Linked DNA regions of Oryctolagus cuniculus. The main gene of each other region encodes a partner of the protein of the gene in region 2 in a complex. Links are inferred from orthologs where the notes say so. Each region holds a gene or a part of one and is shown on either strand. Other genes may lie near its edges.

Region 1 (3,196 bases), on a different chromosome or scaffold from region 2:
ACTTATACGGGATGCCAGCAACGTAGGTGGCAGCTTAACCCACTGTCCCTCAACACCAGCCCCAACTTGCATTTTTTTTTATTTATTTTTATTTTTTGACAGGCAGAGTGGACAGTGAGAGAGAGAAACAGAGAGAAAGGTCTTCCTTTGCCGTTGGTTCACCCTCCAATGGCCGCCGCGGCCGGTGCACCATGCTGATCCGATGGCAGGAGCCAGGTGCTTCTCCTGGTCTCCCATGGGGTGCAGGGCCCAAGCACTTGGGCCATCCTCCACTGCACTCCCTGGCCACAGCAGAGAGCTGGCCTGGAAGAGGGGCAACCAGGACAGAATCCGGCGCCCCGACCGGGACTAGAACCCGGTGTGCCGGTGCCGCAAGGCTGAGGATTAGCCTAGTGAGCCGCGGCGCCGGCCCCCAACTTGCATTTCTTAAACATGTGAATCTCGTTTCTTCCACTGCAACTCCAGGACAATGGCAAGGATATTTGTATGTGAAAAGGATATGAAACTGGGAAGAGGTCAGTTTTATTTTCTGTGGTAGCAAACATTTAAGCACTGGTGAAAACAAACAGATCTTGAGCACCCAGAACCCAATGCAGGCAAGCCATTAGGCCCCATCCTGCTTCGGGCATGATCGCCCTAGGGAGACACATTTTCTAGGAGGCGAGCAAGGTAACAACTGGGCCCCTTTACCCAGTCCAGTCTTAGCGGGCAACGGGAGGCCCGAAGCGCTGCAGGGTGCGCACCACCAGGGAAAGCTGCTCAAGAAAGCTGATGATGGAAACTCGGAGGAGGCGAGGATCTTTAGCTGTCCAGCGGCTAAAAGGGAAGGAACAAGAAAATCAAGTCGGGGACAGTAGCTGCCCACATCCCTTGCTCTACCCCTCAGGCATCCAGTGCAGCAGATCCTGGAAGCCCCGGTATTACAGGGCCTCTCGGGCAGCGTCCCAGACCTGCTCCTTAGACTTCCCCCGGAGTGCCTCCAGGCCTCCCAGCCTACCTCTCAGTGGAGAATGGCCACATCCCCTGTTGCCTTCCCCTCACCGCCTCCCGCTCCCCCACTCCTGCCACCCCACCCCCGGCCCCCGGAAGCATTTACACCGCCAGGACGGTGCCGGTCACTGCGAGGTCCTTTCCAATCGCTTCTGGGTGAGGCTCAGCATCTGGAGCCAGGGACTCACAGGCGATTTCTGCCTCCAGACGGGTGGGAAAAGGCACACTGAGGGTACTGGTGGAGGTTTGGTAAAGGCACCATCGGAAGCGACTTTGCCCGAGTCTGTTTCCCTGGCTCTTCTGACGGCTTCCATGACCTCTCTCGGGCGCCCCCCACTGGCTAACGCTTTAATCCCACAGCCATCCGGGCGGCTCCGATTACCCTGCTCTTCTTTCTGTGCTACCGGTCCTCCCACTCGCCCTTCCCACCTTCTGTTCCAGGCTACCCTGCCCCCACCACGGGCAGCCTCCACCCCCTTCCCCCACTGTGCCCCTCCCGCAGGATACAAGGAGTGTGGTCGCATTCCCGGGCTTGCGGCTGCTGTCGCGGCGTCTCCGCCCGGAACGGCAGCGTGCGGTGCCTGCGCGACTTCTCGAGTTCCACGGGCTGCAGCTGCTTCTGTGTCGGTACCATCGGGAAAGTCGCGGCCACGCCGTCCACGCTGGGTGTGAGCGCCGCCCGCCACGCCGCCTGCGCCTGCGTCCGCAGCCTGCATGGCTGCCGCTGCCCCGCCCTCAACCCCACCCTCAGGGCGCTGCGCCACGGCCCGCCATCTCCAGGAGCTTCGTAGATTGCCCGCCCTCCTGAAGCTCCGCCCCTCGCGCACGACCACGTCCACGCGCGCCTGCGCAAACACACCTTTGACGAGGCTGTTGGGACGCCTCGTGAGTTCCCGCGATAGTGGCCCAACGTGGGGGCTCTTGGAGACCCTGGCAGCTTCAGAAACACTGCATTCGTGATTCGATGCTAGTGCGCTAGCCAGAACATACCTCCAGTGAAGCAGGCAGATGCGTGGTCGGTTCCCGACAACACAGCGCTGCTGGTACCCACAGGCCCTGGAGAAACTGAGCTGCAATATATATTTTTTTTAAGATTTATTTATTTTGGGGCCGGCGCTGTGGCTCACTTGGTTAATCCTCCGCCTGCGGCGCCGGCATCCCATACGGGCGCTGGGTTCTAGTCCCGGTTGCTCCTCTTCTCTCCAGCTCTCTGCTGTGGCCGGGAGTGCAGTGGAGGATGGCCCAAGTGCTTGGGTGCCTGCACCCGCATGGGAGACCAGGAGAGGCACCTGGCTCCTGGCTTCGGATCGGCGCAGCGCCAGCCGTAGCGGCCATTTGGGGAGACCTTCTCTCTGTCTCTTTCTCTCACTGTCTAACCCTATCTTTCAAATAAATAAATTTTAAATAGATTTATTTGAAAGAGAAAGAGGTCTTCCATCCACTGGTTCACCAGTTGCCCGCAACTGCCAGAGCTGCGCCAATCCAAAGTCAGGAGCTTCTTCAGGGTGTCCCACACAGGTGCAGGGGCCCAAGGACCGGGGCCATCTTCTACTGCTTTCCCAGGCCACAGCAGAGAGCTGGATTGGAAGAGGAGCAACCATTTCATAGCGTTGCTGGCTACAGCCTTACCTGGTAAACTACAACGCCACCTTGGCTCTAGATTTTTTTTCCGTCGCTGAAGTTTGCCAAATGTATCGTAGTTCCATTGTATCAGTTCGTTCTGTTAGGTAACAAGATCGATCTCAGACTGTGTGTGAGGCTGTTAGGTAGCAAGGGAGAGATTAGCTGTGTGTGTGAAGAGGGCCTAAGGAAAACAAAGCCCTGGTGGAAAGCAATGTAGCAGCCTGGGACGTGCACTTGGGCAGCAGTCCTGTATTTTTTTACACGACAAAGCCCTGTCCACCCCCGTCACTTTATTGGTGGCCCCAGCCTTGCCTCCCAAAAAGGCACCCCAGGAGAACCCTCTGTCTGGCGCTAAGCAGGCTGCTCAGTCTGATAACTGGGTAATAAAACTTTGGGAGGGATTTCACCCATTTCACACCCAGCAAAGCCCTTGCGGGGAAGAGAAACAGGGAAGAACTGGACCCCAGTCCCTCAGAAGGCCCGGTCTCAGTGCGGACTGGGCTCTCAGCTCAGCTCTTGGTTCTTTGGCGCTTGGCCCATCAGGAAAGTTCTAGCCGCTGAACCTTGCCCTCCCCATTCTGAA
Region 2 (4,298 bases):
TGTACAGAAAAAAAAGCTTCAAAATAATATAAGCTTAAATCCTTATCATTGTTTTCTAAATTGGAAATTCCTAATCTTTTTTGTATAATCAAATATATAAAAGTCACCTAAAGTTTTAATAACCTGTCGAAATCTGCTATTACGAACTCTGTTGTGAGTTTTCTGGTGAAGAGCTAGGTTCAGTTCTGTTTCACAGGCAGTCCCCACAACTCAGGTAAGCCACAGAAGTCACTGGTTCACTGCCCACAAAGTAGGATGAAATAGGTGGAGTACTCAAAATACCTGTGTGTTTCCCCCGCTGACATACAGCACAGTTGGGCTGGTGGCTCCAGTGATGAGACGGCCCATCTCAATGTGGCCTATACAGTGGTTCACGCCTAGCAATGGCTTATTCCACAGCTGGGCCACGGTACGAGCCACGACAGCCACAGAAACTAGTGGAGCACCCATGCCAGGACCTAGGGGACAGAAATGGTAGTCAGAATGCTGGATTGGAAAAAAACAGGTGAGGAACTAGGGAATGTCAAAGCGGGAGAGGGCTTGTGGTGGTGACAGAGGCAAGGCAGAGGACATTTTGACCTACCCAGGCTCCACATTCCTCCAACACTGACCCCTCCCCCAGTCATACCCTTGGTGTAGGCAATGCAGTCAATATCCTGGGAGGTTAATCCAGCCTCGCTCAGCGCCTCCTGCAGCAGATCTAGGATAACAGCTCGGTGGTGCCTGGCAGTGTCACCTGGAAGGAATCCTAGAAAATGGGAACAGGCCAGGGGTCATAAGGGTTTTCTGCAGCAAAGACAAGTAGAATTTTAAAACTATGACAGTGAAGCCTCCTGAGTTTCAGTAATGCAGGAAGACTCCTTCCATTCTCCTCAAGCACCCTGTCTTCCAGGTTTTCAGACACATTCTAACCTCTACGTAAGCTGTTCAGGTATCAGAAGTGCCTTTCTTCCTACTCAATTCCTACTCAGCATTAAGACCCAAGTGAGGGGCCGGCACTGTGGCGTAGTAGGTTAAGCGTCCACCTGCAGTGCCGGCATCCCATATGGGCACCAGTTCGAGTCCCCGCTGCACCACTTCCCATCCAGCTCCCTGCTGATGAAAGCAGTAGAAGATGGCCCAAATGCTTGGGCCCCTGAACCCATGTGGGAGACCCAAAAGAAGCTCCTGACTCCTGCCTTCAGATTGGTCCAGCTCTGGTCATTGTGGCCATTTGGGAAATGAGCCAGCAGATGGGAGACACCTCTCTCTCTCTCTCTCTCTCTCTCTCTGCCTATAACTCTAAAATTAAAAAAAAAAAATCTTTGAAAAAAAAAACAAACTCAACCGATACCTACCTCATGCAGAATCCTACACATAATCACATCACTGTATCTTACACCTAACAATTACAGCATAGCATTAAAATTATCAGTGGTTTCCACAGTTTAACTACAATTACCTGAAAACATTGGCTATTTGATTTATTCTTGTACTCCCAGTACCCAAGTGCTTAGAATAGGAAAGACTTAAACATAGATATACAAGCACTTCTAATACGTACAACCCGTCACATTACTTGTTCAGAGGCTGCTCTGGTACATGGAAATCATTTGCCCCCTCCTATATGTGCAGGTGTTTGAGGGGAGAGTAGGCAAGATACAATAGCTCATAAACCATACGGAACAGAAGCTGTTCAGTGTCTGGTACTTTCATTTAGTCCCCAAGACACAATGTTAAGGCACCACCACTCCCATTTTAAGAGTCACAAAGTACAGTGGGTGTTCTGGCACTTGGGACACCCACATTCCCCATGGGAGTGCCCAGGCTCAAGGCCTAGCTACTCGGCTTCCAATCCAAGTTCCTGCTGATGTGCACCCTGGCAGGGAGCAGATGATGGCCAAGAGTATGAGCCCCTGCAACCCATAAATGGGAGACACGGATGGAGCTATTGGCTCCTGGCTTCTGCCTCACTCAGCCCTGGCTACTGCAGGCATTTGGGAAGTGGACCAGTAGATGAGGTTCTCTCTGGCTGGCTGTCACCCTGCCTTTCCAGTAGATAAAAATAAGCAAAAAGCAAACATTAAAAAGTGAAAAAAAAAAAAGTCAAGAGTATCCCAATACCAGTCAATTCTATCCGGTACCTAAATCCTAATTCCTTCCATCTTCACGTCTCTCCTCCGCATTTTACAACATTTTGAGTCCATCTCTATTACACCACTCATCACGCTGTTACAATTCGTTTATACATTAGACTCCAGGGTAGATTTCTACAAGTTTATGAGGTCTTGGTACGCAAAAAGCATTCAATGAAAGCTCGACAACCCCAGAAGATTCAGGTCCAAGCGCCTGTGGCTCTTCCACTCATCCGCCTTCTGACAATAACATCACATAACCTCAACGAGCTGTAAAATGGGACAAAATTCCCCGGGCCCCATTCACTGGTGTTCAGGGAAATAGGTGATGTGCGCGGGGAAGGTCGTCGCAAATTAAGTCCAGGACTCACCTGTGCCCGGAGGCGTGACATAGGTCCGCCGCGGGTTGGCCAGCACCTTGCCATCCCGCACCACTCCCACGCCAATCTTGTTGGCGCTGCCTTCAAACCCCAGCACCGTCGGCATGGCGCCGCCTGAGAGAGAACGCCAAGGCGCCAAACACCGAGCCGCGACAGCCCTCGGCGGGCGGTACCGGCACGCTGTTGGTAAACAGTAAACCGCGCCCGGACACCAAAACCTGCCGCGGGGGCAGTGCCCGCGCCTGCGCCTGCGCCCGCCGGCGACCCACAAGGCCCCTTCCGGAACCTGTCTCCGGAGCTGCCGGGAGCGCTGAGCCGGCCTCTGCGCCGGCCCTGCCTAGTCCACTCCCCCGCCTCTCTCCTGCGGCCCAGCCCAGTCGCTGCCACTGAGCTTCTGCCCCCTCGCACGGCGCCGGCTCCTTCGGTCAGGGCGGCAGAAGGAGCCGTACATCAGGCACGAACGTGAACAGCCCAAGAACGGAGCCTTGGGACCTTCAGCCCTCCGCGGAGTGAGAGGGGCGTGTCAGAGTCTCCGTCACGTGGTGGCAGACGGCCCAATCACGCGCGGCCTCGGGTCACGTGACCACGCCAGTTACCCACGTGGGCGTCCAGCGTGCTCCCTTCTTTGTGCTCGGGTAAGGAGCCAGGCTGGGGCAGGAGCGGGGCAGGAGCAGGTCAGGTGCAGCGCTGCGTTTTTGCTTGTTGGAGGGGCCTCCGCTAGCTGCCTCACGGGACCTTTAGTAAAGGTCTCCCGTTGGCCGTAGAGCGGATCTCGCGGTGATTCAAACGCTCTATGGATAGATCTAGTTGGGGAGTGAAGCGCCGAAGGCCTGATGCACCGAGGCGGGGACAGGATTCAGAGATTATGTGGTTTGAAAGGCGGGACTTAGTGCGGGGGCCGTCCAGGGCAGGAGTTTTCTCCCCAGCCTTCGCCGGCTGAGTCGTATATCTTTGCATCCTTAGGCATCGCGGTGAAGATACTGCTTCGGTGGTCGACGTGGTTCGGGTGCCGAAGGGCGATCGTTACAGGCATGCCAAAGCGAGGGAAGAAGGGGGCCGCGGCAGAAGACGGGGAGGAGCCCAAGACGGGTGAGAGTGAAGCGGCCTCTCCCTGCCAGTCGCGGTGGGCGGGGTTGGGGGGGCTGCTTCTGAGTCCCTTGGCGAAATGTTAGCTGTGGGCCAACTCATAGCGGGCGCAGGAGAGGAAGTCGCGCTAACCGCAGGGTCGCGGTGCGTTTGCCTTGGACTCTGACTCGATGTTGGAAACCTCCAGCTCTTATCCCTACGTATTATTCTCGTTATAGAGCCAGAGACCAAGAAGGCTAAGACGGCAGCGAAGAAAAATGAAAAAGAGTCAGCAGGAGAGGGCCCCGTGCTGTATGAGGACCCCCCAGACCAGAAAACCTCACCTAGCGGCAAAGCTGCCACACTGAAGATCTGCTCCTGGAACGTGGATGGGCTTCGAGCCTGGATTAAGAAGAAAGGCTTAGATGTGAGTGGAATTCAGATTTCATGCTGAATGGTCTCAGGGCTTCATTAGCGTCTTTTCATTTTAATGCCCAGGATGTAACTTTTTTTTCTCCTTTCTTTTCTTGTGGGAGAAGTACAAGGGGCAAAGGGAAAGCAGTAGAAGATGAACCAAGACTTGCTGGAATGTCCATTCCTTCATTGCCATTGCCAGTCTTACTAATGTATCCTTCCTCCGACTGTTGCAAAAACCTCTGTGCTGGCCAGCCTCCATTTTAGCTCCAGAATACCCTCCATTCCCAAATCTACTGCTTAAAAGTCTTAGCTGCCCTTGTGA

The links.
Region 1: the proteins of OSGEP (region 2) and LAGE3 are in contact, whole or in part, in a crystal structure (PDB 6GWJ), measured with the Homo sapiens proteins. The link is inferred for Oryctolagus cuniculus from reciprocal best matches to the Homo sapiens genes OSGEP and LAGE3. Residues at the interface, in NP_060277.1 of Homo sapiens: Arg50, Ile53, Leu54, Asp55, Leu57, Gln58, Leu61, Gln69, Ala84, Val87, Ser88, Val91, Val92, Arg94, Thr95, Val96, Gln98, Leu99, Trp100, Asn101, Leu315, Ser318, Gly319, Val320; in NP_006005.2 of Homo sapiens: Glu76, Ile77, Gly80, Ser81, Leu82, Pro84, Asp85, Asp125, Gln126, Leu129, Val130, Arg132, Thr133, Met134, Arg136, Phe137, Gly138, Pro139, Pro140, Val141, Arg143.

Annotation. Positions count from the first base shown.
Region 1 is NC_091453.1:132,705,611-132,708,806, forward strand, and holds LAGE3 (EKC/KEOPS complex subunit LAGE3), read right to left. Parts: upstream 1,794-3,196; 5' UTR 1,707-1,793; coding exon 1,498-1,706; intron 1,226-1,497; coding exon 1,097-1,225; intron 817-1,096; coding exon 702-816; 3' UTR 501-701; downstream 1-500. UniProt on the Homo sapiens protein: Component of the EKC/KEOPS complex that is required for the formation of a threonylcarbamoyl group on adenosine at position 37 (t(6)A37) in tRNAs that read codons beginning with adenine.
Region 2 is NC_091443.1:54,295,986-54,300,283, reverse strand, and holds the start of OSGEP (tRNA N6-adenosine threonylcarbamoyltransferase), read right to left. Parts: upstream 2,801-4,298; 5' UTR 2,601-2,800; coding exon 2,486-2,600; intron 749-2,485; coding exon 629-748; intron 459-628; coding exon 283-458; intron 1-282. Other genes in the region: DNA repair nuclease/redox regulator APEX1, read left to right, coding at 3,526-3,583, 3,799-3,986. UniProt on the Homo sapiens protein: Component of the EKC/KEOPS complex that is required for the formation of a threonylcarbamoyl group on adenosine at position 37 (t(6)A37) in tRNAs that read codons beginning with adenine.